Lepisosteus oculatus: one gene and its partners. The protein of the gene in region 1 purifies or fractionates together with the protein of each later gene. This does not show direct contact. Links are inferred from orthologs where the notes say so. Each region holds a gene or a part of one and is shown on either strand. Other genes may lie near its edges. The genes, in order: hdac6, dbt, myosin-10 and plaa.

Evidence for each region.
Region 2: the proteins of hdac6 (region 1) and dbt purify together in Homo sapiens (affinity purification with mass spectrometry; 3 studies listed by BioGRID and IntAct, with this or other methods). This does not show direct contact. The link is inferred for Lepisosteus oculatus from reciprocal best matches to the Homo sapiens genes HDAC6 and DBT.
Region 3: the proteins of hdac6 (region 1) and myosin-10 purify together in Homo sapiens (affinity purification with mass spectrometry; 3 studies listed by BioGRID, with this or other methods). This does not show direct contact. The link is inferred for Lepisosteus oculatus from reciprocal best matches to the Homo sapiens genes HDAC6 and MYH10.
Region 4: the proteins of hdac6 (region 1) and plaa purify together in Homo sapiens (affinity purification with mass spectrometry; 4 studies listed by BioGRID and IntAct, with this or other methods). This does not show direct contact. The link is inferred for Lepisosteus oculatus from reciprocal best matches to the Homo sapiens genes HDAC6 and PLAA.

The regions. Positions count from the first base shown.
Region 1 is NC_090697.1:75,338,572-75,346,017, forward strand, and holds the start of hdac6 (histone deacetylase 6), read right to left. Parts: upstream 3,091-7,446; 5' UTR 2,975-3,090; intron 2,221-2,974; 5' UTR 2,187-2,220; coding exon 2,103-2,186; intron 1-2,102.
Region 2 is NC_090704.1:19,332,090-19,340,152, forward strand, and holds the start of dbt (lipoamide acyltransferase component of branched-chain alpha-keto acid dehydrogenase complex, mitochondrial), read right to left. Parts: upstream 3,130-8,063; 5' UTR 3,072-3,129; coding exon 3,021-3,071; intron 2,292-3,020; coding exon 2,165-2,291; intron 2,041-2,164; coding exon 1,965-2,040; intron 1-1,964. UniProt on the Homo sapiens protein: The branched-chain alpha-keto dehydrogenase complex catalyzes the overall conversion of alpha-keto acids to acyl-CoA and CO(2).
Region 3 is NC_090704.1:43,882,253-43,889,930, reverse strand, and holds the start of myosin-10, read left to right. Parts: upstream 1-4,668; 5' UTR 4,669-4,837; intron 4,838-7,678. UniProt on the Homo sapiens protein: Cellular myosin that appears to play a role in cytokinesis, cell shape, and specialized functions such as secretion and capping. Involved with LARP6 in the stabilization of type I collagen mRNAs for CO1A1 and CO1A2.
Region 4 is NC_090696.1:33,098,762-33,106,715, reverse strand, and holds the start of plaa (phospholipase A-2-activating protein), read right to left. Parts: upstream 3,232-7,954; 5' UTR 3,119-3,231; coding exon 2,970-3,118; intron 1,453-2,969; coding exon 1,259-1,452; intron 1-1,258. UniProt on the Homo sapiens protein: Plays a role in protein ubiquitination, sorting and degradation through its association with VCP. Involved in ubiquitin-mediated membrane proteins trafficking to late endosomes in an ESCRT-dependent manner, and hence plays a role in synaptic vesicle recycling.

The DNA of each region.
Region 1 (7,446 bases):
CACAGATGAACAGAATGAGCACTGAACTAAATGTATCGAAATAAAAAAAACAAGCAGGAAAAATGAAAGGGGAAAAAAGTCAAATGAAGCTGAAAAAATGCAAAGAAAAAGAAAAGACTGAACAGAGTTGGATGGCTGACCGAAGTGCAGGGCTGGTATCTCCGCTGGTCCGCAGGCGGTACAGGGCGAGAGCAGAGTGTGGAGTGTGGAGCCAGATCACAGCGTCTTTAAACAGCTCCGTCTCAGACACACACCTGAGCTACACGCCCCTGCCCCTCCGGCTTAGTGCACCACAGCCAAATGACATTTAAAAATTAACACAGCTACAGCGCCGAGGGCTATGACTGGCACCGTGCCCAGTGACGCACTGGTGCTCTGGTGCAGCTGGTGCAGGGCTGGACCTGGCCTCAGCTCCACCCTCAGTGCAGTGCTGCCACTGCAGGAGAGGATCAGAGAGGTCACAAAGTCCGGTCCCACATTAGCAATACGGACAAGCAGTCTGCCCCACGATCTCCTCTCTGTGTCCAAGAGAAACCCGCTCCTGCTCTCAGTGCCTGAATCTCCTGCTCAAGTACGCTGGGGTCGAAGTGGAAACCTCACCCCATCAAAGAGCCCTGATATAATGTAATTACAACGTAAAATGTAACTGACATGACATAAACACATCAACTTTAGGTGCATTACTTGCCTTTACCAAAGGAGAGAAATGAGGAGGAATGCCGGCGTTACTGTGTCCGGTTACTAATTGATCCCAGGATCTCATCCAGCTGTTCTCTAAAAGAACCCACAGTATCGGCTTCAACCACACGGCACGCGAGAAAGCGCACTGGAGCCCTTCTCGTGCAGAAGCCCGAAAGCTATTTTTACATGACTAGACCACTGTGCCGTCTTTTTTCAACCGTGGAGCATCCCCACGGAACACTGTTCTTTCTAAACGCAAACACCAGCCCTCGTGTGTCCCCTACAGAAACTATGAAACCATGGCATAGGTATCAGATAGCCTGGGGGGGAGAAAGACGTCACTGGATCCAAGCGACAAACACAATCTGACAAGATACTGTATTCATTATTGTAAACCTATACGTTATGAGATTGTAGGAAACGATTTCTACAAGGGTAGAAACCAGGAGATTCTCTAGCATTTCCAAATTCTGGGAAAAAGGCAAGTCCGGCACCTGTGTCAGCGAGAAACAGCATTCAATCCTTAAATCTTTCTCAGGGGCTTTGCGTGGAAAGGGGTCAAGCTCTCAGCCACCTGTACTTTGTGCAGCCTTCATTCCTGGGCCTCGTGCACCCCCTGCCCTCTCCACCTGCTCCGCCTTCACACACTCCCTCTCCGGCAGAGCTCCGTCCTGGAGTTACCTGGGCCTGCCTCCCGGGCCAGACGTGGCTCGGCCACCAGGTCTCGGGGCAGAGTGCCTCTACAGCAGCGGAGCGTTTAATGAGCAAGCGTCTGGAAGGGCAGAGCTATCCATCAGCCAGGGTCGGGCAGGGGCACAGGGGAGAGCCAATGAGAGGGGCTCACACAGACACGCCCCCACACAGTCCCCTGCTAGCCACCTCCCTCAGTTTGACCTTCACATTCTAATTGTCATCGGAATTAATTAGTAACTGTGCACTCTACACAGCCCTGTCTCACCACAATGAGAAACTGCAGAGTAGCCGTTACATGATCAAGCACAAAACTCCCCATCCATGACGGGAACACTATACTGTAAAAAGGCGCTGTCCTTCGGATGAGACGTAAAGCCGAGGTCCTGAGTTTTTTTGGTTATTAAAAATCCCAGGACGTTTCTTGAAGAGATCGGGTGTAAACCTGGCGTCCTGGCCAAATTTCCCCCTGGCCTTTACCAATCATGGCCTTCTAATAACCCCCCTCTCTGAACTGGCTTCATCACTCTGCTCTCCTCCCCTCTGAGAGCTGCTGTGTGGGGAGTGGACTGGCGCACTGGTGGGGGTGGAAGGGATCCCCATTACCTGTAAAGCTCTTTGAGTGAAGTGTCAAGAAAAGCGCTATATAAACACTGTGTGAGAAATTATTAAGAGAATGATGGGCTCCCCTGAGTTACACCTCTTCCTCAGACTGTGCCACGCCCACCTACCTTGGATGAGGAGCCTGGTGACTTGGGGGAGTGGGAGGAGCCTCGACGAGACCCCGCCTCCTCGGGATTGGGTATGGAATCCATGCTGGGACAAACTTCCTCAGGCACTGGTTAAAGACTGCAGAGCATTTAAAAGTATTTATACAGGGTTTTCATTCAGCAGCTCACGTACTGACACTGATGACTCATAGGGGGTCATTTCTGCGTGGGTTGTATAACAGTTTGTAGTTTGTAGTTTCTAGTTTCTGAGGCAAAGCATGGATTTCCTTTCCTATAGTTGCATGACAGTCTGTGAGTTTAGCTAAAAAACAAAAACTTATTTATTATTTCAACATTACGCTCCCACCAGAAAATAAACATTCTGAAAGATTCCCAGAGTTTGAATTACACTGTCTGGCCACGTTACAAAAGAACCGAACATAAAGTTCACTCAACGGCAGCACAAGTGACTCTTCCTACTGAATTAATAACTTGAATATGTCTGTAGAATTCTTCTCAAATTCGTTACTGTAAGGCGGAACACAAAAGCGCTCGATCTTAAACAGTCCAGTCCGGGGTGTTACTGCTGTACTCATTTACTACTGTAGCCAAAGCCACACGAGTTTTAAAATAATTAAAAATAGATTGAAATTGCGGCTAATAGCCACATATTTACGTGCATGTTGTAACCCAAATAAAGACAATCATCAATAACAGTATTCGAAAAGAAACTGTAACGGCTAAGTGGGAAGTTAATTAAGCTACTTCAAGTGGACCTTTTCTGAACTGACTGCACATTTTAGTTCTCGATTTGTCGCCAAGAGAGACATTTTCTATTACGCTCCTACGGAAAAGCCGAAACAGTGTACTGTTTTATAGTTTGAATTGCTTACAGGTGTGCTTTCTTCAAATCGCAGATGAACTGTCGAGATGCTTCAATCTTCATTCAAAAGTCGCTGCGCTCAGCCGCTCTCCATCCTCAGACAGACACCCACCGGGGCGCAGGCTGATGACGTCACACCACCCACCTTCGCAATGCTACCGTTTTCCTCGGTATTTGGAGACGCGGATCACGGTGTCACATAACTGGGAAGGGGGGCAGCTTTTATTACTGTTACAAAATAAACGATAGGGTGTTGTCACATTCAGTTTTGCGAATGTGAAGCTTTTGGCGGGATTTTTTTTCGTCAAGCCAATAAAAACAGGTCCGAATCAAATTGTAATTGGCTCCGCTAACGGTCGGTAGATGTCGCCCAAACTACATCCTGCAACTCTGCAGCAGAATTCGCCACAAGCCTTAATCACCAATCTAGTGGCTACAGTCTGTTGTGTATTAATCGTAACAATGCCAGAAATGTCCCTCTACACTGCAGGGGCCTATAAACATGCTTTTCATCAGGATAGAGCAATGGAGAGCCCATCCTGGTGCAAAGTTAGGGCAGAGCAGACCTCATGATGATGGGCAGCACCCCCACTCCCCCTCCCAAACTCTAATGCCTCCTACCAGCAGTAACTGTTACACAACAGCAGCCCATGAGAGGCAGGGAGTCTGAGAACAGGCCGGGACTGCGATGGAAGAGATAGCCAGGCTTTGAAGGGAGAGCAGAGAGCAGCCGGCCCTGCGTGGTGATAAGGCCTGGGGGGTCGGGTAGGCCAGCAGTGGGCGTGAGGAAGCTGGGGGGGTGGGTATGAGCTCATACTAGAGCTTGGGGACTGGACTGGCAGGCCACAGTCCCTCCACACAAAGGCCCTTGTTCCCTTATAAGCACACAAAAGTACCAGACAGCTCTATATCTGATGCAATAGAGGTCTGTTCGGAAAAATAGAGGAAAAGAAAATATGCCCTTCTCCCTTCTGCATTTTCGTGTTCTTCTTCTCTATTATTTGTTTAGAGGAGACATTTAAGAACTTGAATACCATATTGGTCTTTGGAAATTTTCCTCCTTTCAAGAACATTTCATGCTCTTGAACTGTTAATTCTTCCCCTTCCCCTCCCTCCTGGACGTGTCCGTGCATTTGAACTGGATATTGCCCACAGACAGAAAAATCCTGGCCCAGATCCTACATCGAAGCAGAATGCTTTTAAAAGTCATCTTATGCCCAGTCAGAACAAAACCCACGAGAGCCAGCGACTCTGTCCGCAGAGAGACTTGGCCACCCTGACCCTTGAACCTTGACCTCTGGCCTGCAGGGGTCATCCAGAAGACCCTCACACAGGGACATTGATGCATCAGCTTCGCATCAACATCCCCTTTGCTTATTTTCAGCCACCATTAATCCTGCAAATAGTTCCCTGATGGAATTCCAGCTACTTCCAGCTAAAAACATGACACCTTTTTTTTTTCCAGCGGTGGTTGTACAGTAGCTGCTAAGTTGTTTTGGGCCCTTTTAGACATATTATACCCCCCTGTCCCAGAGTCTAATGGGCTTGGACCCTCTTGTCCCCTCTTTGGCTCTCTGCAAGGAGAGGCGAGAGCCACACCACACTGCGGCCTCCTCCTGGCGCAGCGGGGGCCAGACAAGACCCCCAGCTGTTTCCAGCCCGGCGGGGCGGGGGCTCTGGGTGTAGAGCACTCTGGAGGAGAGAGAGAGACGGAGTCACTGCGTCCGCTGGGGGAGGGGGTGTAGGAAGGGATGGAGCGGGGGCCATGAGCGCACAGCAACTGTAACAGACAGCGGGAGAGGGAGAGACGGATTCAGGCTCCAACGGATGGGCCCGTGTGTCCGCTGGGCCCGGGGCTGTGGTTGCTAATCTCTCGCCCTCATTCGCTGCCGCTTCCCGAGCCCCGCGAGATAACCCTGTCCGCAGGGCAGAATTTCTTTTTTTCAAAAACCCCGACCCGTCTGCCGTGCTGATAAACGAATAAACCAAACCACCGCCCCCCTCCACGCGCACACACAACGGTGCCTCAGCGTGCCTGCGTGGCCTTTTTTTCATGAAGGTCCGGAAAACCAGAAGCCTGCTGCGTTGCACAATGGGGCTCCAGCCAAGGCGTCAAACCGGAGAGCATGTGGTCAGCAGCTGTCAGGGCGCTGGAGAGAAACAGGCCTCTTTTTCCAGCCTCCAGCTGCACAGATGGCGGGAGAGAAGAGACAGAGGAAGGCAGCAGGGCTCCAGTGGGCAACCAGGCAATGCCATTGCAGGCCAGACTGGATTCCCTCACCCCCCACAGCTCCCCAGTTTACTGGGGCACCCCGATTTCCTTCACTGCAGTCCCTCATATTCACTCCCTCCTGTGCAGACCCATCATGCTGCTTTCTCACATTCTGGAGTGTCTTGGTGATGTTCAGATGAGCAATGCACAGCTTGATTCCAGTGACTGCCACCAACTCTTCCCAGGACTGTCTTCTCACCCCCAAGAGCACCCAAACCCTGGAAGATGCTGCACCTTAGTCCGGAGCACTAGTGATGTCATTTACTGTGGCCAGACTGGGGCACAACCGGAAGACAGCCTGCGACACTACGATATCTGCTGAGGGCGCACTGGGATCCGTTACGGGCCGGCAGCAGTTTCTGGACTGGCTCGAGGGTGACTCTGAAGTGAAGAGGAGGGAGCAGTCTGAGAGAGGGGTCTGGAAGCTGGGAGACTAGCTCTAGGCAGCGGAGAGCTGACAAGCACGCATAGGGGTCCTTAGCTCAGCAGGTGCGGTCACAGAGGCGTCCAGCGGGAATGCCGGATGCATTGGAAAGCTATCAATCCTCTCTCCTTGGGCTTTCATTCTAGTTGCACCTGGCATAGCTAAAAGACTACTGCTTTCTAGGTCAATACACACCAGACTCCAGAAATGACACAAAATGACCTCAAATGATCTCAAATTCCCCTACGCCTCTACCAGCACAGGGGCTCCAGTGCTTTGCTCTCAGCAATTAATTAATTAACTTAGAGCTCATCTGGAATTAATATCAAGACATCCATCAGCCTTCAAAGGACAGTGTGCCCTTCATGCAAACATCACTCACTTAGTTGATCAGTGGCTGAAACACATGTTCCTCATCTTCAAATAACAGGAGAATCCGGGTGACCAGTAAGAATAACTGGATTGGGGATCTGCAGGACCTGGGTTGGGGACCCCTGCTTCAGAGTGTGAATTTGTCCACCGTGCTCCAGCAGGGAGACTGTCCTCAGAGCCTGGAGGCCATTTCTGTGTTTGTGGGGGCAGTGGAGGAGCTGGCCAGCTGTTTCTCTCTCTGTTTGACACATCGGTTTTCAGGGGTTGAAGCAGAAGCCTGAAATAGAGCCATCACAACCCACAGCCCTCGTCCCCTCCCTCGCTGACCCTGTGCTGTGTGGGACTCATGTCAACCGAACTATGCAAATCATTTTTTATTTCTGTTTTTCAGTCTATTTTTCGTTTGTAGATTTATTTTTAAAGGTGTTTTTTTTTCACTGCCCAACAACATCTGGCTGTCTCAAAACGTTTTCTCGCAGAAAGAGTTAATAAGAAAATAAGAAGGTGCTTAGAGATAGCCCTGCAATGAATAAGAACACTGCTGTGTTGGACAGAGAGTACATCAGAACACATTGTTTTAGAATTTAAATCAAGAGATATATGTTAGAATTGTATAACACACCAGGAAGACTTCATTTAGATAACCGCAGACAATTCTGGTCACCAGGTTGTAGAAAAGGTATCTGGAGTCAGTCCAGAGAAGAGAATCCAGAAACATTCAAGGGCTTGAAGGGAAAGTCCTGCACTGACAGGCTGAAGGAACCCAGCCTTTGTCGATTTGCACCATGAACCTAATATTCACAATCCTCAGAGGCACCGACAGAGTCAAAGCCAGTGGTTTTCTCCAGAATAAGCAGAGAGGCACGCACCAGGAGTTCACACCAGTGGAAACTCCATGGAAGGGCATCCAAAGCTGAGAACAGGAGGCACTTCTTTTCACAAAGGGTGGTGGGAGTGTGGAACAAGCTGCCCAACCCATGCTGTTGGGTCTGATACTCTCGTTGCTTTCAGGAATGGGCTGGATGAGATCAGTTCTGAACAAAGGAGCCAAACAGGCTGTATGATCTTCTCTCGTCTCTAGCTCCTCTGTTTGTATTTCTCAGTAAACTAAGGGCCCCAGGGGCTGAGGCAGTGGTTCCCAGTCCCTGCCCCGGTGACCCACACTCCTGCTGGTTTGTGTTCTAGACGAACCCACAGATACACCATCAAACCCTTCACTGACTTAGCACTAATCAGATGAATCTGAGATGTTTGTTCCCAGCTCTTCAACGTCGTAGTTTGTTAGTGCAACAAAACCCCAAACTTGTGACTAGGAACAAAACGCAGGTACTCAAACGAAGCAGCTTCTCAGATCAAGGAAGGCTTCAGCTGTCTAATTGAAGGGGCGCTGGAGTGAAAACCAGCAGGTTTGTGG
Region 2 (8,063 bases), on another chromosome or scaffold:
ATAATGAAGCATACATTTCAGAGAAAACAGAATGTATTTTAATAAAGGGTGGCCTGGGGAGTCAATGTGTATTGACAGTCAGTAATACATTTACATTACTGATCACAGCGCCATCTGGTGACTGTTTATATTATGGCTTCATAATGCTTCCACTGTCAACTACATCTCTAGCTCTTAAGGGAATGCTCCCTTATGAAGATTTTATACATATATATGAAGATTTGCAAAGTCTTTATTTCAACAGAATAAAAACATTACTAACATTTCAAACTCAATATTCATAAGATTATGAAAGTGCAAGCCAAGGCTTCAGCCAAGGCCTCCTCTGTGAGTGAAAATTGGACACAATTGGCTTAAAGGGGAACTGCAACGCTAATTTTACATTTTGGGGTTATAATGAACCGCCAATAATGAGGGCATTTCAAACCACAATAAAACTACCAAGTGCATGGCAACAATATCCAATTTACATAAGAAAAGAGATGACGTTTTACTGTAAGGGAGCACTCCTAAACTACTGATGTGCTGTCTCTGGGTTACATGGTGTGGCCTAGGGGCTGGCTTTCACCACTAAGATAGAAACAGAACAATAGTTCTGTACAATACTAAACAATACTAAAACAGAAACAGAACAATAGTAAAAACAACAGTGCAAAGGTATACCTCTTGTGTGTGAGAACTGTTTTGGGGTTCTTTACTTTTCTTGTCGTGAAGTGTACTAATTTAAAAGAACATCCCTAGATATTAGAATAACCCACAATCACCGACCCCGGATCACTATGCTCCTGATTTAGAGGCAAGCAAGCTCCATTTGATGTCCTTGTACTGTTAATGTTTTAAGCACTGTGACTTAGTTATACAATGTTTTTTAACCTTGCCAGATCCCAAAATACAGGTAGGAGGTAGCTCCCTCATGATTCACAATGTACACCTGCTATGGATTCTGCACACATAAAAACATCTTCAAGAAGGGCCTTGAGTACAGTGGTTTTGGACAATTGTTGGTTTGGAAATTAACCCTACAACCTCACCAGGAGCCAGAGCTCAATCCCATTTAGGGGCACCTATCTGTGTGGTGTTTGTATGCTCTCATGCTCATTTGGGCTTTTGCCTAAGTGCAATGTGATTGGCTACTATATATAACCAGTTCAGGGGCAATTCAAGGAGTATTAACTCGGAAGCGACTTCCATGCCAGTGCTAACCAGGCCTAGGCTTTCTTAACTGCTAAGAGTTGATAAGATATAAACTGGGATTAATCTTTGAGGCAGGCCCCTTGAAGCATCTATCTTTTCTTACTAGTATACACCAAGCCAGGGGAGTGGAAATATCAACATGAATGCCCACATACAAGCCAACTGTTAATATCTAGATGATAAGGAACAAGTCATAGGTTTATTCCATGCTGAAAAAAAGAAGAAAGAAAACACAACGTTTCGGCCGAGGAGCCTTCATCAGGTGTCACATGGCCAAACTTGTTCCTTTGCAGCCTACGCATGCTGACGTAGCTACCCACCTGAATATCTAGATGATGCCAATGTTAAAATATTAAAAACACTGCCTGGCACAAACCATTCAACTCAACTAATGCTGATTTTACATGCCTCACAAACTCTCCGACGCTCATTTAAGAAGCATCTAATTAGTGCAGCATTCAATAATTCTGAGACAGTCACAGATGTAACGTCACCCCCAAAAAAATTAGATGGTGTACAACTGTGCCACAGCAGAGGAGCCAAAACAGCAGCACTCATCACACCAACACAAGACCCACAACATTCAGGTTAAAAGGGCTCAAAAATTGCTGTGTATAAGATAAGTGAAATTAATAAACACACGATTTCCAACAGATAATTGCTTAATACAGGTAATTACATGAATAACTGTTGCTGCTTAAATCAGGAAAGAAAAAATGCTATTTAGAGGCTGCTGCAAACAGTTGCAAGACAAAGAAAGATCCACCTACCATTCCTTGACGGTGACCTCTGTAATACCTTCTCCTATATCTGACAGCTTAAACTGTACAATTGGTCCAGAAACAACTGCACAAGGGGAAGATAAGAGAATGAAATCTCTCAATAAAACACATATTAATATGAAAAAAAATGTACAAGAAGACTAAATTTAACGCCTATATAAACAACAGCAAATTTAAACGGTACTTACCACTGCAGGTTCTGAAGTACCGGTGCTGCGTGCTGACAGCGACCGAGAGGTGAGGCAACTTGTATTTGTACTCTGGTCTAACAGACTGAAATTTTGAACAGCAAGATCTGTACTGGTGTGCACACCGCTGGAAAACAAACATTAGAATTATACATGCAAACATTTAAGACATTTGTATTGTGGTCTGAAACCAGTGGGTGCACCAGTAAGTTATCAGCTGAAGAACTGGTCATACTTCTTCATACTTCTGGGCAGTGCCCAGCGTGACCGCCAAGGACATTTATAGATAGATACTTTATTGATCCCGTGAGGGAAATTGCAGAATTATAACTGGGCCTTTGGCATTTTACGTCCAATAACAGCTCAACAGCAATTCAAATTTTAAAATCGGACCACGGGACTAGTCAAGGGTACCAAAATCAAAGTAATTTCCGTGTTCGGTATTATCATGCACACGTAAACCGGGAGAAACCTTATTACAGGAGACAGTCAATGTTTTAGTTTTTTTGTCGAAAAAAGTTGTTTGAAAACACTTAAGGATGATATAACCTCCTTTACTGGATACCTGGTAAGTGTTGAAAACATTTTTTTCAACGAGTCTTACGAGACATGTCTTTACGTGTTCAAGAAACATTAATGAGATTTGTGCTTTTTGATACTGAAAAAGCAGATAAGGGAGCACAGCTGAGATATCTCCGCTGCAATTGGTTCTGTCCAGCTTAGGTGACTGAGCGCTACTCCAGCATTATTAACCAGTATGCAACTGCTGATAGAGACTCGGCTTGTCTGCCTAAGAAAGAAACAGACACGCAACCTGCCCACTATTAAAAATGGCTAAAGTCGAATGCAACCTTACCAAGTTTCTCATAAACCTGAATGAGGCTCTCATCGTTGTCACCGCCGCCATTTTTACCCCCAAACCCGAGGCTCTCTCGGAACTGACGACTAGTATCACGCCCCTCTGCAAGGGCCAACCAAAAAGCACGTTTCAGGGGCCGGGGCTTGCGACGGCACTCGATTGAAGTAGGAGGGTGGTCATGTTGGTGAAGGAAACCCTTGAAAATACACTACATCGTTTTAGAACAAGATGTTTCAATGACTCAGTGACTCACGTGGTACCATTTTATATACTGTTCTCATGTCAAGTAAGATTACATAAATTATTGTTGAGGATTATTGATTTACATGCTCTCAATGAGTAGAGATGCCATTTTTGAAACACTCAGGAATGTAAAACTACCACCGCCTGTATGTTACAAATTCAGATAAGATTATCACTGTCATTATATAAAGTTACCTTAAAATCACATCTGTCCTGGATTTCATCTTGTAAATTTGCATTATATTATAATTCATATCTGAATTTGGTGGGCTATACCTTCCCCTAACACTTTGCCCTTGAAATTATATTTTAAAAGTAAATACTGAGAGGACACTGCTGTTGTACTGTTGAGGAAGGTACTTTACTTAGATTGCTTCACTAAAAATCCCAGCTGTATACATTTTGTGTCAAATCCAAATAAAATGTAATTAAATTAACATATTTACACATCATCCTCATGATAATGCCTTCTATAGTTATATAGAGGGTATTGCAGCCACTCCATATATCAAAACTATATCAAAACCCACAAGAACTAATTTAGATTTTTGCATGAAATATCGGCCACCCCACCAGAAACAAATACTATTGCTCTGGAAAAATTTAAAAGGAATAGTATCTAGGCTAATTCATTTTCCCAAAGACATGTTATATTGAGACAATAAAGGAACTGAGCCTTTTTAGTCTTGAAAAGGAAAACTGCAGTGAGACTTTATATACTGTAAATATCAATCCTGAAAGATATTGACAAAATCAACTCAGAGAAGTGTCTTCTCATTTTTAAGCTCTCTTATGTTTATATTTCTAGTTTTGATATATTAAAGTACTAATTGAGGATTGTTATTAACTCTAGTGGTAGATCATAAAAATCTAAAAAAAAGGTTTTTTAGAGGACCTCTATGAAAAGCTTTTAATTTCTATTGTAGCTTCTGATTTTTCTGAATATAAATGTTGTATTTCTACAAGTTCTGAAATTTGATTTAAACTTCCAGAAGTTGTCAATAAAATCTATTCTTATTTCAATATGAACATAGACTTTGATAGCAGTGTTACCGCCTTCTACCCTGATCTGCCCAACCCTCAGAAGTTAAGACAGACTGGGACTGGTCAGTACAAGGAAGGCGGGCCTCTATTGAATACCAGTCTGCTGCTGTAAATAGTGTTAGTGGCCCAGTAGGTTGTGCTACTTCCTCTGGGACCAGAACATCCAAAGGTTTATTACATTGATTTATTAAATTACTTCATTAATTCCACTTCAGGTTAAACATGAAATGAAGGTTTCTTACAATATCCTCATAATACCAGTGACCAGTATGTTTACCAGAGACACTGTCAGATAACATGTTAAACAGGCATCCTGACCTTTAATTAAAGATTCCAAGGCACTGTTGGAAAGCGCAAGGTTGTGACCTGGTGTCCTCTCTAAATTACATTCTGGCCTTGAACTAATTTGGCCTGCCCAAAATTCCTCTTTAATGCAACCATTGATGCAATTTCTTTCTCTCTCTACCTCTACTCTACTCTCTCTCTACTCTGCAGTGAGGCAGCTGTGTCACCCAGTGGGTCTGTCTGGGGAGTGAAGTGGGTCCCCTCCTGTGTGTGGAGCACTTTGAGATCCTGTGGAATGAAGAGCACTATATATTCTACACATAATACTATCTTATTATACTTAGTTATAAGTATAAGTTTAAGTATATAAGTATAAGTTTAAATGATAAAAAGGGGGTAGCAATATTGTTTCTTTTGTTATTTTAGTTAGTTAAAAGAAATTAGTATTAATTTCCTGTTACAGCTATTTATGAATAATATTGTATACTGTGAATGGGTTTGGGTATGAACTAGGTGAACAATTTAATTCCTCTAGGTGGAGCAGTAGGTCTGCAGGCTTGCCCTTATAAAAATACATGATCGTTCCATTGCTCTGATAGAAGTGTAGTTCTAATCTCGGTGAAGTCAGATTTAAGATGTGTCCAACCAATTAAATTACTTCAGGAGAGTATTAATACGATAATTAAATCTTAATTAATTTGTGGAGCTAGTGTGTTCTCCTTGTGTATTTGGTAGTAGCTCATTTCTCCATGGATCTCATCCAACCATTTCTTGAAAGACACCAAGGTATCAGCTTCAACAACATGGATGGGTATCTTGGTCCAAACTGTCACACCCCTTGGGTTAAAGATGTGCCTCCCCTTCTTGGTTATAAACTTTCATTTGACTTCCACTTCTAACCCCAGGTTTGAAGAAATTCAAATGCTTGACACTCAGTGCCTTTGAGGATTGTGCTATATACTCAATTCTTGTATTAGGTCTCCTCATAGTCTTTTCTGTTGAGCCTTTGAGCCTGTCAGGAGAGGACATCCCCTTCAGCCCCAGAATGTTTCTGTTTGCTCTTCTCTTTGCTCTTCCAGCGCTGTGGAAAAAAGCAATAATCGTGCCTATGCCCAAAAAGCCCTGTCCCTCAGATAACAATGACCACAGGCCGGTAACACTGATGTCTGTTGTGATGAAATGCTTTGAGAGGTTTATAGTATCCATGCTGTGCTCAGAAGTGAACACTGTACTGGACCAATATCAGTTTGCATATAAACACCGGCGGGGCACCAATGATGCAATCAACAATTATGCATCTTGTTCTAAAACACCTAGAGGACCCCAATGCCTATGCTCGGATGCTGTTTGTGGACTTCAGCTCTGCATTTAAAATGCTGCAGCTCCATCTATTGATAAGTAAGTTGAAGCAAATGTCCGTTAACAAATCGCAGACAGTATGTCAGGGTCAACAAAACTCTTTCTGAGTCACGATCTATTAGCACAGGTGCCCCTGAGGGCTGTGTTAGCTCTCTAGTTCTTTTCACGCTTTATACAAATGATTGTAGTCAAAACAACTTCATTTTCAAATTCTCAGATGATACAGCTGTTCTTGGCTTAATGCATAGAGGTAGCAGCTCACCTGTATACATGTCAGAAATCCAAAGATTTGTGCAATGGTGTGACAACAATAGCTTAATTTTGAATGCTAAAAAAACAAAAGAAATAGTTTTCGATCCCAGAACAGTTGGTGATCACTCACAGGTAGTAATCCACAACGAACTTAAAGTATCACTCAGGTTGATTCATACAAGTACTTAGGTGTACACATAGACCGTAACCTGTGCTGGTCTACTCATGTTGAGAGTGTTTGCTCCAAAGTTCAGCAGCGCTTATATTTCCTGCGAAGACTAAGAGTGTTTGGGGTTCGACAGGAAGTAATGCTACTCCTTTACCATGCTGTAATCAAGTGCATTATCAGATATGGTATTTCAGTGTGGTTTGGTAATCTATCAGTTCATTTTAAATCGCAAATTACCCACCTCATCCAGACAGCTTTGAAGGTCATGGGGGTGAAACAGCACCCCTCCCTGCAGACAATCTTTGAAAAATACATAATCAAACAGGCAGGAAAATTTTTATCAGATCATTTCCCACATCCTCAACTCTGAATATCAACTTCTTCTTTCTGGCAAATGTTTTAGGGTTCCCAAATGTACAGTGTTTAGTAGTCCTCCTAATTTGGTATAATCTGCAAATGTATGACTAAATATGCAGCAATACTGTAGAAATACTTCCTGAGTATGACCCCTGTCTTGAGTGTTTTGTCAATGGTTTCTGAATAACATCTCCTGTTACCTTGATTACAGTTGGTACATTTTAGTTCAAGTAGGCAGCTGCGGAACAAGTAAAGGTTTATTCCATGCTGAAAAGAGAAGAAAAGAAACACAATGTTTTGGGGGTGGAGCCTTCTTCGGGTGTGTCAGAAAGGGTTATCTGTTTGAAGGAGAAAATAATAGAAAGCATAAGTTTCCTCAAAAACTGTTGTAGAATTAGAAGACTATTAGAAGTCTTTGCGTGTTACTCTGGGTGGTGTCAGAATCAAAGAAAAAAAGTGTTACATTTCAGATGAAATCCTTTAGGAATGACATTATGTCGATGACATCTGTAAAGGAATAGGAGGTGGTTAGAAAGCCTGGTCTTGGAACAGATCGCTGCGAAGAGACGGAATGCTGGTTCGGTGAGAGAAGAGGACAAGTAGCCGAGGGAGGAGGAGAAGGAATGATGAAGAGATCTAGAAAAAGATTTAGCAGAAGTCATGGTGGGTTGCAACAGAAGTAGGCTGAAATAGCCTACCTCACCTGGAGCAGCGTAAAGACGTAAAACCGAGATCCTGACTCTCTGTGGTCATTAAAAATCCCAGGGCGTTTCTCGAAAAGAGTAGGGTGTAACCCCGGCATCCTGGCCAAATTTCCCATTGGCCTTTACCAATCATGGCCTCCTAATAACCCCCATCTATGAATTGGCTACATTACTCTGTTCTCCTTCCCACTGATAGCTGATGTGTGGAAAGCGTTCTGGCGCACTATGGCTGCCGTCGCATCATCCAGGTGGATGCTGCACATTGGTGGTGGTGGAGGAGAGTCCCCATTACCTGTAAAGCGCTTTGAGTGGAGTGTCCATAAAAGCGCTATATAAGTGTAAGCTATTATTATTATTATTATTATTATTATAAAAAGTTCAAGTAGGTAGCTGAGTCGGCATGTGTAGGCTGCAGAGGAACAATTAAAGGTTTATTCCATGCTGAAAAGAGAAGAAAAGACACAACGTTTCAGCTGTGGAGCCTTCTTCGGGTGGCTCCAAAGCCAAAACGTTATGTTTCTCGTTGGTATGTTTTGTTTCTCTGAGATAATATAGGAACAATATTTTTTTTTCTGGCATTTCTTTTAAACAATTTTATACGAATAAAAAAACTATACTAATTTTAAA
Region 3 (7,678 bases), on another chromosome or scaffold:
GAGTCTAATAAGTAAGTCAATTGCGGAGTGAAAATAGAACTGTTCCTCCTCAGCGCTCACTGGCTGCGTGGGCTGGCTGGGAGTGTGTGAGGATGGGGGAGGAGGGCAATTAAATTCTTACTCTGGACCTGGAGTCCTGACGCGTGTCCAGAACTGGAAACCATGTAGTCTGGGAATACGTAAGAAAAATGAGAGAAGAAGAACTGAAATGCTGCTTTCATTCCTTGACTGTTTCTTATTTTTGTAACACATTAAATATATGTGTGTGTGTGTGTGTGTCGGGGGCTGAGCGTTCGGGTATTAGCATGTATTAGACTGTCGATTACTGTAGAGAAACAGAACTACAGAACCTTACAGGCCTTTACATTGTTGATCAATGGCACTGTAATATTTTGAAATACATGCCAGGATTTAATCAATTCTTGCCACAGTAAGGCAGAGAACGTAAACACATTTTAAAGCTTTTAAATATATGTATTTAAACTCACACTTTGGCTCCTTATAAAGAAAACTGCAATACAAATCAAAGATTTACAGTAGGTATTATCTACTTAAATGGCATAGGTGTCTAATGGTGTTTGTTTCTGTGCTCTGTAGTGTGAACAGTGATGTAAAATGTTGCTTTCGGGAAAAAAGCACGTTTCTGGCCCCAACACTGTTGCTATGAAACCCTGTCTTGTCAGGTCTAGGTTGAGTTTAAAAATATATTCAATGGAAAACAGCCAAAAGAAAGTGCCTAAGACAGCAATTTAAAATGTTTGTTCATAATGGCATGGATCACCAAAATTTAATTGTGAACATTCAAAATACAACTCTGCAACTTCTTTGAAGTGAAAATGTAATTAAATTTTCAATGCTTTGAAAAATCCAGTTCATTACATCACTGTTTTATTCTTGTTTTCTTTCTTCAATCAAGTTCAATTAAGACTTTAATTTAGTATTCACATCTGATTTCTTATTATGGACATTGCTTCCAAGGCTGTTAGAAAAGTGTCAGAAAAGAATCTGTCATGAAATTAATGTCAAAATACGTGCTTTAGCAGAAACTTTTTAATCCTTTTGCAATTTTTTTCAACAAAAATATATATTTTTTTTATTTGTACTATATTCTAGAAGTGATGTGGAAATTCTGTTACAATTCCAGGTAACACTTAAAGAGCTGAGACTGGGTTTGGTGAAGATTCCATATTTTGGTTTAGTTAAAATGATGTGAAGTCCCCATGACAAAGGATTGTTGAGATATACTGTAATATTGCCAGGTTGTAAAAACATTTTACAGAAGAGTGGTAAAAACAGATCTACAGTATGTACAATCTATGGGAAACTGTGACAGTTTAGCAAATGAAATAAATGCATGGTATATGTATAGTCAAATACTATAGACTACTAGAACTCTGAAAATAGAGTGCCTGATAAGTCTGGTTAACTTCTTCATGGGTTGGTTTGATTACTCTTACTTTGTGAGAATACTTCCAGTCACTGCTCAAATATTCCTTAATACTGGACAGATCATGGAAAGTGCCATTAAAACCTGCCTGACTCTTTGGCTTTGACTCTACTTAGACTCCATAGAAGTGTAAAATTAGGAATTCATTAAGTTGTCTTTTTCCTTGTAGTGCCAGTTCTGCACAGAACGAACAAAGTTCTGAGTTCATGTACCAGGAATACGTTCAGAACTTAATCCTTAGCTAACGCAATTTCTCTTGGAAAACTTGGTATGTGTTTATTATACACTGTGTACTTTATAGTTTTCTCCGAAGTGTGTGAAAAATGGGCGTTGAATGACCAAAATTTTAATATTTAGCTTCATTAATTTTTTTCTTGTTTGTTTCACTATATGTTTTTATACGTAGGATTTCAACAGCACATCATGAAAGAAGCTACAGTATGGGCTTCTTTTTCAATAACTGAATTGTTCATATTGTTACGCATTTTACCTAGCAATATATTTGAAAAATCATTTCCACATGAGAATGTCATGACAGTAAGATCATTAAATGTGCATCTTGAAGAATTATTCAATAAGTATCTTGAACTTATTTGAATGAATAATAAATAATAATAAACTTTATTTTATATAGTGCTTTAAAGGTGGCTTCTCAAAGTGCTCTACATTACACTAGTAAAAAATGCACATCATGAAAGGAGACAGCAGAATTACATAGTTGCAAGAAGGTTTTGTAATACAGTGGGAATACAAAGGGGCAGACACAGAACAAGATAAATAAAAGTCTGTCTTAAAGAAGAAGGTTTTGAACACTGGGGAAGGTGGCTCTGATATCCTAACAGATTGAATTCCAGAGCTTTAGGGAGCAGAAAGTGAAGGCCCTGTCACCCATAGAGTGCAGATGGGCTTGGGGGACAGATATGAGACCAGAATTAGATGAATGAAGGTTGTGAAATGAAGCATACCATGTACTACTCATTCAATACTGAAGCAGTACCTGCTGTTTCTGGAGCAAGTGGGTTTTACAATTGCACCGCATAATGAAACTCTCATGAACAAAAGCTGTTTACACTACTGTATGCGTTGTTGTTCTAAGGACGGGTTCACGCAGTGCTTAAATGTTGTGTTATAGGGAATGATTCTGGTTCGTTGAACTGTATTTTCAAATCTGTTAAATATTTTATATTAGACTGACCTCTGGTGGTTATAAAGGACACCAGAAAACCTGCAATGTAAAGGTGAGTGGAGCATGAATATACAGTACATACAGTATTTAAAGATTATTACACATTCAAACACAGTGCTTTTATAGAGAAAATAGTCACTTTAACTGCTTTTACTGTATGAGGAAGTGCTTCATGTTTTCTGCCTTCTTGTATTAAAAGCAGCCAAGCCGAAAGCTGAATACTGACATCAAAACGGAGATTTCACCACATATAACAGGAAGTACGTCTTTACACATGGGTTTGGAGCCTGGAAGAAGATACCCAGTTATGCAGTTGAAGCTGATAACCTGTCTGTTTTTAATTAAACAGATGGATGAGATTCTTGGATCAATTAGCTGCTAATAACCAAACTATAGTAAATGGGCTGAATGGCCTCTCGTTAGTAATGTTCGTTCTGTACTGTTATTAAAGACGTGAAGAAGCACTGTGAAACTATACAAGTGCCTTGTATATGAATACTTTTTAAAGCACAGTATTTAAATCTGCATTTAAATTGTCATTCTGCAGACAGAATGGCCGAAACACAGCACCAGTCTTCTGCTCATGGTCATAATCAGTATTTTCAATTTTCAGATCATTGAAATTTGGCAGGGGTCTCCAACCCCTGCACCCTTCACAAGAAACAGCTGGATGAGATCGGAGACCCAATCACCTCCCAGCAAGCAAACAAGAGAGGTCCAGATGTACCCAAAAGGTTCTCCTCCCATTTGTAGCCTGAGTCAGATCCTTTGCTTACTTGGTGTTTTTGTAAATTACTGCACTTTAGGAGGAGGGAGAACCATGCACTGGGGCTCAGTACCTGGACTTGTTCGTCAGTGGTGGATTTCTCGAACGCCTCTAAATGTGACGGACGTGCAGAGAGGAAGATTAAGGAGCCTCTGGCGCATGCTATCTTAAAGTCCCCCCCCCCCCCCATGTTGACATGGGATCACCAGCTTCACTGTTTCCGTGGTAACCAAGAAAGCAGTTCCGTTTTTCAATGTCCAAAGTGGAGCTCCGCGTTTAGGAGACGTGTGGACGCTCCGATCCGAATCAGGATCGCACGCGGCGGTAACTCGGGATATCCCGGGCCGCCCTTACCCGTGTCCAGCCAACACAGCAGCATAGTCAGTCTGTAGCTCCAGCTTAATCTTTAATCATCGAAGGTAATGTGGAGCCCCGGCGTTAACGCAGCAGTTAAGGAGCAGCTCAGCGCACAGCATATGGGAGAGTTCAAAGTCCAAAGACTGCAACAATGATAATGATATCTCGATGCTCGATACATGCATGTTAATTCAAGGCAAGTAACGGGCAGGGGGGCCTAGGGGAATAAGAGGGAAAGACCCAGGCGCTCCCGAAAGCTAGAGGGAGCCACATGCACGGCTTCCACGTCTACTGGCAAGTCAAACTAATGATGTCATCTCGCATTAAAACAGACAAAAGGCCGGAGTGGGGGACAAGGGGGGTAGAAGCCCTGGCAAACCCCCCCAAAATTAATAAATACACTTTAAAAAACAAAATAAACCAGGCATGGACTGCGGAACCCCCACAAACACAGCACAGCTAGTTCTACAAATCGCGTATCGAAAAACCCGATTGACACCGCCGATCCGCACAGCGCACCGCAACCCCTTTTCACGTGGTCTCTGCACAATGACCTGCCTGGCGCAACCTAGATATCGGGCCCTCTAAGGGGGGAGGGAAGGGCGGCTGAGCTTTGATGGACGTGATCTTGACCACTGGCTGCGGTTCTTCATGCACAGGCGAATCCGCGACACCTATGAGCTGCACGGCAGGTGGAAGACAGCCGCAGCACGAACTCTTCACCGGCGGTGAGGGGGCGGCAGGCGTTCTAGAGGGAGGAGGGGCGGCGGGGGTTGCCTCTTTTTTTTCTAGCCAATAGGCGCTCTTTACGTGAGGAACGTCTTGGAAGCCGTCCAATAGTGTTACACCTTTGGGCATGTAGGCGGGACTAAGAAAAGGGTTCGGTTGAGGAGTCCGGCTTCTGCGGGGAGGAGGGGGGAACGCTGGGTAGGACAGTATCTCTGGTGCAAAGAAAAGAGAGGAGAGAAAGGCGGAGAGGCAGGCGTATATACGGAGCGGTGCGGAATATAGATCACATTTGCCGAGGAGAACGCCTTATTCGTTTTAAAAGTTGAGCTTGGTTCTTGTCCGACTGCGTCAGGTAAGCTCAAAGGGGGATCTGCGTTATTCCGCGGTAGCTAACGGGATTACCGCGAAGGGATGGAGGTTAATTAGCGTGATCATACTGCATCTGCATTCATTTGCCACTTAAAAACTGATTTGAAGCGGGTTTTCATTGACGCATATTCCCCAAACCCATCGGAATGACAAGACCAGAGAACTATCCGACCCCTTTCCTCTCGAAAACGGATGAAACAACCGTCTGGGCTGCAATGCACAGTGTTGTAGGGGTGCGTTATCGCGGCTACATGGTCGTATTTGTCAAAGCTAAATTCAACTCGTGCGGTTGTATTGACGTGGTATAATCATGTCTTTCGCTGGTGTATTTTTTTTTTCTCCTTTTGGTGGACCGGGAGTGGCGCTCGGGCCAGCATGAAACGCCGAACAGTGGGAAATAATTTCCAAGTGTTGCAAGGGAATAATGTGCAAGATACGTTTCCACATCTTTATGTGGGTAGATAAGAGGAGGTCCCGCTTTTTTGAAAAAAAAAAAATTAAATGAAGAGGGGAGCGTGGTGGTGGGCATCCTAAAAAAAAAAGGGCAATCGCGCTTGAATAACGAGCTGAAATGAAGTGTTACATTGTGCCCGTTAGGATCCGCTGGCGGCTGGGCGGACCTGGAGCAGGAGAGACCACACCAGCGCCAGTCTCGCCACCAGTGCGCCAAACGGCTCATTCAAAGCCCTGGACCATATTTTTACTGTAGTTTATGACCCCTGGCGTTATGCTGGGACCGTGTAGCCACCGAGGTAAACGCGTAGGTTAATCTGGAGCAGCAGCAGCAGCAACAGCAACAATAACAACAACAACAAAACCCCCAAAACAACCGTTTTAGTCACCCGACTCGCCCAACTCTTTTTCTGTAACGCGAGGAAATATCGGGTGACCACGCTAGCACGACGCTAAAAGTCAATGCATGGGTGAAAGGGTTTGATTTCTTTCTTTCTTTCCGTCTCCTCGCACGTCTGCTGTGTCTGAGGCTCTGGTCACTGCAAGAGCTTGGACTTCAGTGGCCTAAGCGGCTGTCCCGGCCTTCGACCTGCCTTGTGCAGTGGACGGGTAGACGTAGCTTTAATGCAGGATTTTCTGATTTTACGCACAGGTTATGCTTTATCGTTTCACCTGAGCGAATTAAGAGCTCTTCCCGTCCGTTAGCAAAATTTGCTGCACCGAAACCTCAGTCTGAGCTGAAATAATGATTGCAATGCGTGCGATTCAAATGAAACCCGTGGAGTTTTTTGTGTGTGTGTGTGCGCGTTCATTCATGACAGATGGGTCAGTCAGTGTGTGTCTGGGAAATGTTTTAACCTGATGGAAACGACCAAGCTTTGGAAACCATAGACGTGTTACCGTCCTGCTTCTAGTCTGGTCTGCCAAGCTTAATTCTGGGTAAACCGGTTCGTCTCTGAACACTGGGACAGTTAACGGACTCATCCATGCGTGGTGTGACGTTTGGGTTAATGAGATGAAGGCTTTAGACATCCAGAGGCAGTTATACCAAGCGATCATGATCTGAACATTAAAGTTTATGACTTCAGCCTTCTTTCTACGCCACAAATGTCTGATTAAAAAATCATAGTTATACAAGTTAATTACATAAAGGAAACAAATCCTGTATATTCGTTTTTGAATGAGATGACGGTTCTAGAGAAATTATGGAGAAATTCTTTGTTGTTTCTGCCTACTTTTGGTCCAACCGTTCTGTAATATCACGTGAAGTTGTAAGATAAGGATAGAGCATTTGCCATTCTGTATGTCTTCACTGACTTGAAATATGCTTTGCCAATGCAGTTTATGATTTTTAGAAAGGAGGCAGAATTTAACATTTCAGAATTGTTTGAATGAATTCATTGAATATTAATTGCATGTAACAGGAAAAGGGAGTGGGTTACGGCCGATTAAATCCAAAAATCCCCTAGTGAGAGATCAGGCTCTAACTTTGGCCATATGAGTACTGTTACATGGTCAATGGATAGAGTTTCTATCTTTAATAAATGCTGTTTGTTAAGGGGATGAAGCATGGCCTCTGTTATTTTTCAGGAGCAGAGTTCCAGTTTGCTTTAGGCTCTGATCCCCGTCATTGGAAACCACCAAGTCGCTGAAATGTTTGTATAAAGTGTGAACAGGTGTTCGGCGACAGTAGGGCCAGAGCTGTGTAAACTCTGGCTGTAATTCATGAGGGACGTCAGCCCTAGACAAATAAGAGCTTTAATGCACCACCGTATATCCCTAAGTATGGTTTTCTTTACAGTATAGGTAAAGTCCTCAAAAATAAAAAAATCTGGGGTTGTCCGGGTTTTGAAGGCACAGTTTGTGTGGATCAGTTAGGTAAAGGCCAGAATGCCTTGTTATAGGGTTCAAAATCGGGTGGGCTTTGCAAAATGGAGCTGGAAATGTCCTCGGTTAGTTTGTGATGGACTCGTTTGACATTTTTGCTCTCTCCCACTTGAACGAGCTCTGTGTTAGCCTGGAAGGCGTCAGGACCGAAGACGGCGTGCTTTTAAATGTTTGTGCTCGGGGTCTGCGGTCTGTTTTATGTAAGGGGGCAGTGGGGTTAAGTAGCTGCCCTTGTTGTTGATAGCGGTGTCCGATTCGTGAGCCATTACGGATTTATCGGTTGTTTTTCCTTCTGCGTTCAAGGTATTGGCCGTGGTTTGACTTTCCCGGGATTCTGTCGGCTGCCGTGAAGGAGAGGGGAAAAGGATCCGTTAGCAGTGTCGAGTCTGTGACAGTCCAGGCATGTGCAGCCGGCGGTCAGATTACAGTCCCGGTGACAGTGAAACGAAACAGACTTCCGCTTTTCTCAGCATGTGGATGGAGG
Region 4 (7,954 bases), on another chromosome or scaffold:
GGTATAAATACACATCCATTTAACTGGAAAGAATCAAATTATTTCTATGCATACCAAAATCGTAAATAAATTTGATGTAATATGGCTATTTTTAATTGCGGGATTAAAGAGAAACGAACGCTTTATTTCTTATTTAGGTGAATAAAAAATTTAACAGCTGTCAAATTAAACTGCAAATGTAATACAAGAGCCCTTTGAAAGCAACGGTAATTTGATGCAGATATTTTTAAACCTTACACTGTTCAATGTAATGAAGAATGAAACAATCAGACCTAGAAACAAACCAAGTTCCACCTGTCAGGTGGCATGTTTTATCTATTTAAAAGAGTAGGTTTCATAGCAGACTGTGGAGTCCAATTTCATGTCCAATTTAACAATTTAGAGCAGACGATGTTAACAATTATGGACATGATTTGGATTATAAACTTTATTTTCTGACTAGAAGTTGTCACGTTTTCCCTAGGAACCATTCATTTTCTTACAAGAATGTAATGGCATTCAAATGTCTTGTCAATAACTGTGGAAGCACAGTGCTTTTGTGTCTCTCACGTTCTAAACAAAAACAGTATGTATAATAAAATTTAACCGACACTGGCAGCCAACCCAAATGACAAAGAAGCCAATATATAGTAGAAGTCTACAAAAGGAAAAGCCATATACTTTTACACCATCTAAAGACAAATACAAATTCATAAAATTAAGACAAAAGCCGTGTTCACACATGGTTTTTCCTTTCACTACTAAAACAGAATGAAGTTGTAATATTTTACACATATGTTTCCAGGGTGCTAGTTAAAGGAGTCATCAAATTAAATACATCTTTTTGATTTTATAGCACATCCAAAAAAAAAGTTTCCATTAGCAATAACCATGCTTCAGGTAATCTTTATAGGCTTTTAAGATTTCTCTTTTTCACAAAATCAGTAGGGCTACAGAGTGACTTGGTGCTCTGGCTATGCTCTTGGGTCCCAGAGTTGAGTTACAGGCTTGGGCACCATTTGTGTGGAGTGTGCATGGTCTCCCTGGGTTTGCATGGATATTTTCTGGGAGCTGCATCATCTAAACTAATAATAGTGAGGCTTGATTTGCTATACTATATCACCTCTTTCACCATGACCCTGCAATGAACTAACATTCACTCCAGGAGAAGAGTAGTTGTGTGCTGTCAGCCCTGCCTTGTGCTCTATGTTTCCAGGACAGGGGCAAACCTCATTTTCTCCAATACGTTTCTATGAATGGAATAGCAGAAACCACCTACCTGTGCCTTTATGACCCTTGAGAATGTACTGAGGGTCGGGTCTGTCCAATGAAAAAACACAGATGTTGTGGTCATTTCCCCCTGTTGCTATTAGGCCCTGAGGGTAGGCATCATTGGGAGCTATGATGCACACACATGACACAAAATTGGTGTGACCATTCATACAGTGCATTTCTGTAAAACCCCTGTTTGGACTAAACACACAGAAAAATGATAAAAGCATTAAGTTAAGAGCAAAGAACAAGAAAACAATGAACATCATCAACATCTTTAATGTTAAGATTCCAGTTTAAGTAAATGAGCAGTCATGTAATCTTCGACATAAGACTTTATGAATGTCCCTGCAGGAGGGGATTTAGATTTTAGTTTGTACGAGCAAAGATTAATGTTTATCACTGAAGATTTGCTTCATGTTTCCTTGATTACTTTGTAACACAAGATACAACAACCTGCCAAGAAAATGGAGGCTACTAAACACGTTGAGCAACTCTAAAATCAAGCAACTAGCTTGTGTTAGTACAACTTGCAGTGGCACTATCACCTGATCCTGATCTTATTTAGATCTAAGAGGCTGAGCACTGCAATGGGAGATCGCTAAAGAAAACAAGATGCTGTTGTAAATGGTGTTGGTGGAAATGTAGATGATGCTCTTTCTACTAGATCAGAATTTCCCAATCAACACCTCTGTATAATGATACTGAGATGTAGAAGGCACCATCCTTTGCATTAAACTGAGGTCCTGATTTAATACTCAGTTAAGATCTCACGGCAGTTCATAAGAGTAGGGTTTGTAACCCCAGTGTCCAGGCTACATTCCACATGGACTTGCATAACCTGGCCTCTCTAATGTTTTTCATTGATGAAGTTAATTTCTTGCTTCCCCAGCTGATCTGTTATGTATCAGGGCTGCCTGTGCATAATAAAAACTACAGTTCAGTGGTGGAATATGAAGCACTTTGGGATCCTTTGGAAAAAATGTATGTACAGAAGCAATTACAATTACTACTCAACGTAGCTTCTAAACAGACAGTTTAAGAGCTTAATAATAGCACGATGAAAAGAATAAATGGTTATAACTTTTAAACATCATTAAAAATTGTAAAGCCCTTGTTCAGGCTCACTAAAACAAGACATGTAAGGAGCCTTTTCTTGACTTGTGAGATGTTTTCATGGAATTGTCTAATACAGCTTCCTTCTTACTACTCCGAAGAACAGCTGTACAAGGTCCTGACACTAAAAGGATGACTATACAGCCAACCGGATGTTACTACTCGACTAAGAGAATCAGAGAAATATCAATGAAAAGCATCTAAATGATTGAGATCCCCATTTACAAACATCTCAACGATATGATTCACTCAAAGTATACCTTTGTGATCTAATGAAATAATGTTCAGTATTAAACCAATCCATGTAATGGTTTAAGGTACTGACTGAAGAGTGAAATGTTAAAGATAAAAAATGGCTCAGCTTCACCGGTAGAAAGTTTAAAGACACTATTGTTTTCAATCGCTTACGAACTCAAAATCTTACGAGAATAGCATTTTGTTTTTAAATTATCGTCATCTATCGTTTACCATAAAACTTAAAGAACACCTTCATATCGAAAGTGAAAATAAGACTTTAGAATTATTAAACACCAAAAGATAAACAGTCTGAAAAAACTTTTAAAACGCAGAAACATTACTTCAGCACAAAGTGAGCAATTTACCTTGTGTTTGGGATCCATAGTCTGGCAGTTCTGTCTCGAGATACCGAGACAAAGGCTCCGTCCGGGAAGAGAGTTGCTGCCAACCCCCTGACATCCATTTCATGTCCCGGGATGGAGCAACTAAGCCGGTAAGTGCTGGGGGATGCCATAGTAATAAACACGAAAGAACAAGAGAAAACGTTTTTAAATAAGTATTATTAGTCTGTACCAAATAAGGAACTGACACAGCACCTTGACAGCCCTGTGCGGCTGGAAAAGGAAGTGACGCTCACGGTACAATGCATGACGGGACAAATAACTGAATCGAAATGATAGTTTTATGTAACGCACGCAATTTTGAAGTGACATGTACATTGAGATTAAATTACGTATGATTGCTAATAGAATAAAAATGGCGTGTTTCGAAAAAATCAGAAAGGACTTTGAAACCGGTGAAACGGGTTCGGCCATATTGGGAGGGTATATAAAAAATACGGAATTCGGTTGACACGACAAATTACTTTAAAAACGAAGACTTTCGAAAGTTTGCGGTTTACACATGGGGTGTGATTGATGCACCGGTTTAAAGAAATACCATGCATAGAGGCTGAATGTGGATTACACTGATTTAGAACGCGATTCGCTTTAAATATAGAATACTGTATTATTGAATTTGTTCACTTCACAAAACAATTAACAAACTACATGGACTGTATTCGCATATTAGCGACATAAGACTGCGTGCTAAGCACCAAAGTTCTTCCTGATGCATTAACCAAACTTACATGGCACTTGTTAGTGAAACTAGTCAAACTTAAATTCCCGGTGGAAAGATCAAAGCAAAAGCTATATTGTACTATTAATAATAATAATAAACTTTATTTTATATAGCGCCTTTAAAGGTGGCTTCTCAAAGCGCTTTACAGGATGACAATAACAATATTGTTATTATGACAAATGTTAATCAGAATCACAAATTGCCCATGAATGGTCTGCTCAATCAAATGTTACAAATGTTCATTGCACAAGGTGACAACTTTATTTCACTGTTGTTAAACATCGCTCACAGTAGGCTAGGCTGATGAGGATACTAGGTTGGTGTTATAAAATAAGAAAATGGATTATACCTTGAATTATGAACTATGGTTGGCCTTATTGACGGCATGCCAATAATCAAATACTTTATCTTATTTTTGTTTGAATTTGCACTCCATGTCTCCATCCGGGGAGAAATCCACTTCAAAAAGAGAAAATGAAGAATAAACATTTATGAGCCTAGGCTATCATTCCTCATCAGCCTAGCCTACTGTGAGTGATGTTTAACAACACTGAAATAAAGTTGTCACCTTGTGCAATGAACATTTGTAACATTTGATTGAGCAGACCATTCATGGGCAATTTGTGATTCTGATTAACATTTGTCATAAACAAGGTAATGCTTTATTGTAAAATTCTGTCCCGTTCCTTTCATAAAGCCCAAAGAAGCATGTGCCAGTTCACTGGTCTCTGAACCCAGATACCTCATGTCATACCAATGTCTTGCCAACACAGGCCACAACTGTTCATAAGCGCTCACATTTGCCTTGAAGGGCACCACAGCATACCTCTCGCATATCTCATCTCACGAGAAAAGCTGTTACATAAGCAGCATGAGGACATACTGATGGGATGATGTCACATCAGGATACACTCGTAGGAAATGAGATCCCAGATCTTGATCAAAGTAGCTCTATGAAGTAAGGGTGCCATCCATGATTACAAGTGGAGTTTAGTAGTAACTAGACTGCCCTGCCCAGACCATCACACTCGGACCCCATTGAGTAGTCCATTGTGCACAACCATTGTGTTCTGCATGTCTGCATCACACTGACGGTTGTTCTTTAGGATGGTCAGTCTTTTCAAAAATTAAATATTTCATCTATAACAGGATAAGAAGGGAGGAAACCTTCATCCATTGCTAAAGAGAACTTGGCTCCACAACTGGCAAGTTCAGCAGAGGTGGGCATCATTGGGTGGCCTCCGAAATATAGGTGGCGCAAAGGTGTTGTTCTCTCAATACTATAATGGTGTATTTTGATTCATTCCTGTATTTTCCTTTCTTTTTTTTTCAACAGGCTTGACATTGGACAGGTTAAATCACGTCATGCCTCATTCGTGAGCTTATCTATTTCATACACAACAGTCACTTGAGTATATAATAGGTAATGAGCAATGAATGATAAATTAATCAAATGAACACAAACATTTTTATACATTACAGCGATTCTACCTTTTCCCTGCAGGCTCTCTCTGGTTTATTGCTCTTAAGTAGAACATGGGCATGCTAGTTACAGAGAAGGTGAGGTGCTTAGAGTAGGAGAGAGACAGAGGCTCATATGCGAGATGAATACGACCGTAAAGAGGAAGAGGGCAAACTTCCCTTCCCTTCAAATAGGGTGGGGAAGAGGAAGGAGTAAGTCTGGTTAAAGCTAACTGAGAAGGATAGTTCACCAATGGGTGGGAGAAAAATATATAGAATTGTATTTTTCCAAAACATGTATAAAATGGAGGTGGCACATTGATAAGCATTGCTGCTTTGCAGTTCTGGGGTCCTGGGTTCAGTTTCTTGGATGCTATCTGCGTGGCATCTCTCTGTATGCTTGCATAGGTTTTCTCTGGGTGCTCCAGTTTCTTCCCACAGTCCAAAAACACTACTGGTAGCATTATGACTGGTAAGTTAATTGGTTTCTGAGAACGTTGGCCCTGGTGTCAGTGTGTGTCTGTGTATCCATTGCAATGGACTGGTGTCTCGTCCATCCTGTCTGATATTGGAAGAAGAGGTTAGAAAATACAGTATATAGTACATCTTACGTACTATACACAATCATGGAGTCTGGAACAAGCTACCCAGCCATGTTGTTGAAAAATGTTTGCATTAAATTCTCAGATCAATTACCTACTAATGGCCTTGATCTGCCAAATGGCATCCTCTTGTTTGTAACCTTTTAATGTTTTAACTATACACTCCTCATCTACAACCTCATTGGTTTCATATTTAAAATAACCGACAAATGATAACCATGCAGATTACCTGACTCCTGTGTTGGTTACTGACTGAGAGGTGAATGTACAATCCATAACAAAGATTAGTAGTTTCACGTTAGCAGCTGAGGAAATCTATCTGCAAAATGTATACATCGTCTTTTTTTAAATGAAAAACTGGGGACAGGAGCCTGCTTAATGAGACAATTTCTTAAAGATTGAAGGTGGCTTCGTGAATTTAGATTACATTGTGTGCGTGCAGAACGCTATGAATAACTTCCCTAATTCTTGAGGGAAATCTGAATAAATCTTTTCAGAAGTATCAAAATACAAGTACTCACAAAAGGCGAACAAATACAGTACACCATGGATTTTGAAAGGTAAAAGAGAAGTGAAACTGGTTTTTCTAACGTGTAAAGAATTCAGCTGGGTATCTGTATCAGAAATCACGATCTATTTAGCGTTTGACAGAAGGAAAAACCTGATTTTCAGCCAATCCTTTTAACTTGGAGCCACTGAATATATTGAGCAACTTCCACGCAATTGGACAGCCTCCAATGTATGTGTGTTTTGTCCTCAGCACGTTGCCGTTGAAAGGGTGGTCGTGTAACCAAACACGGAAGAGCACCTCAGATTCCTGTCGGGAAGCAGAGTTCAAAGTAAGTGGAGGTATACTGATGTTTCAAAAATCGAATTACTGTATTAAAAATCTGATCATAAAAATGAAGGTTGGTAGAATATATTTGATTCCCTTACAAAAAAATGAAATGTTAGGTGAAGTCCAGCCATAAATATACAAACGCTGCAACGCTGTTAGGGGGTAGCTTAGTAATTGAATATGATTTTGTAATATCATAATGCGAGTTCTTGGAAGATATTTGTCGATTATTTCGAAATATAGATTAAAAAGAAAATCTTCACGTTGATATTTGCGTAAATGGTTAAAAGGCAAACACGAAAGGTTAAATATTGTTTGATTTAGCTAATTAATCAGCGAAAACTGCTTGAGGAAATTAAGTAATACTTGTAGGTACGGTCGCAACAGTAGTTGCCAACGTAAACCCGAAACAAATAGCAACTGGGCTGTTATTATAATAACATCGGTTATTATTAAGAATGAGCAAAGATATTATATTCATATATTTAAAATACTATATAATATTTTTTATCGTTATATATATTCGTTACTGGCAACATGGGATCATCGGTTATGGCAGCCCGAATCGTGCTCACGGCGCCTTTTTACTTCTGTTATTCAACAAGACAGTATAGATCGCTCAGAGGTCAGATGTGGCTTGAAGTGTTGGGTTCCCAGTTTAATAATTCTGTGGTAACACATATACCGTGCTGTATTTATCTTTAACTCGATCTTATTCAAAACTAGTACAGTTATTACAATGCAGCATAACATTGCAGATAGTTAAGATGATGATAACAAAGTGGTTTTGGAGTTTGTGTCCGTCATATTATGATGCTTTGGAAATACAGTATATACAGATCGCTTACTTATACTGTATCTCGTAGTAGACAAAATGAAATCGAGGTAAGAACAGAAATAGTTTGAATACTTATAAAATATTTGATGGCTTTAATTGATCTGCTTATTAGTCAGAGTGATTACATTACATTGAATAATTTATATTGATTGATCATTATTAGAGTGATGAAATTGTTCGTGCTGTCATTCTGTAGTTTTAACTACAGAACTAAGCACAGCTGTAAGCCGTTCGTCTTCAATAGGTCTTAATAGCTCTTCAGTTCATAATGAGGAAGCATAGCTGTGAATGAAGAACTCTTCAGATGCTCCCACACTGAGCTTTTTTTCTTTCTGCAGAAGTCCAGTTGGTTAGGCAACACAGGCCGCTCGAATTCGAGAAATTCTGAAACTTAGAATTTTAAAGTTATGATTTAGTGAATCAGGCATAAACTGAGCAACCAATGTACATAAGAAATATTATTTTACAGTCCCAGAAACCTTTCATTTT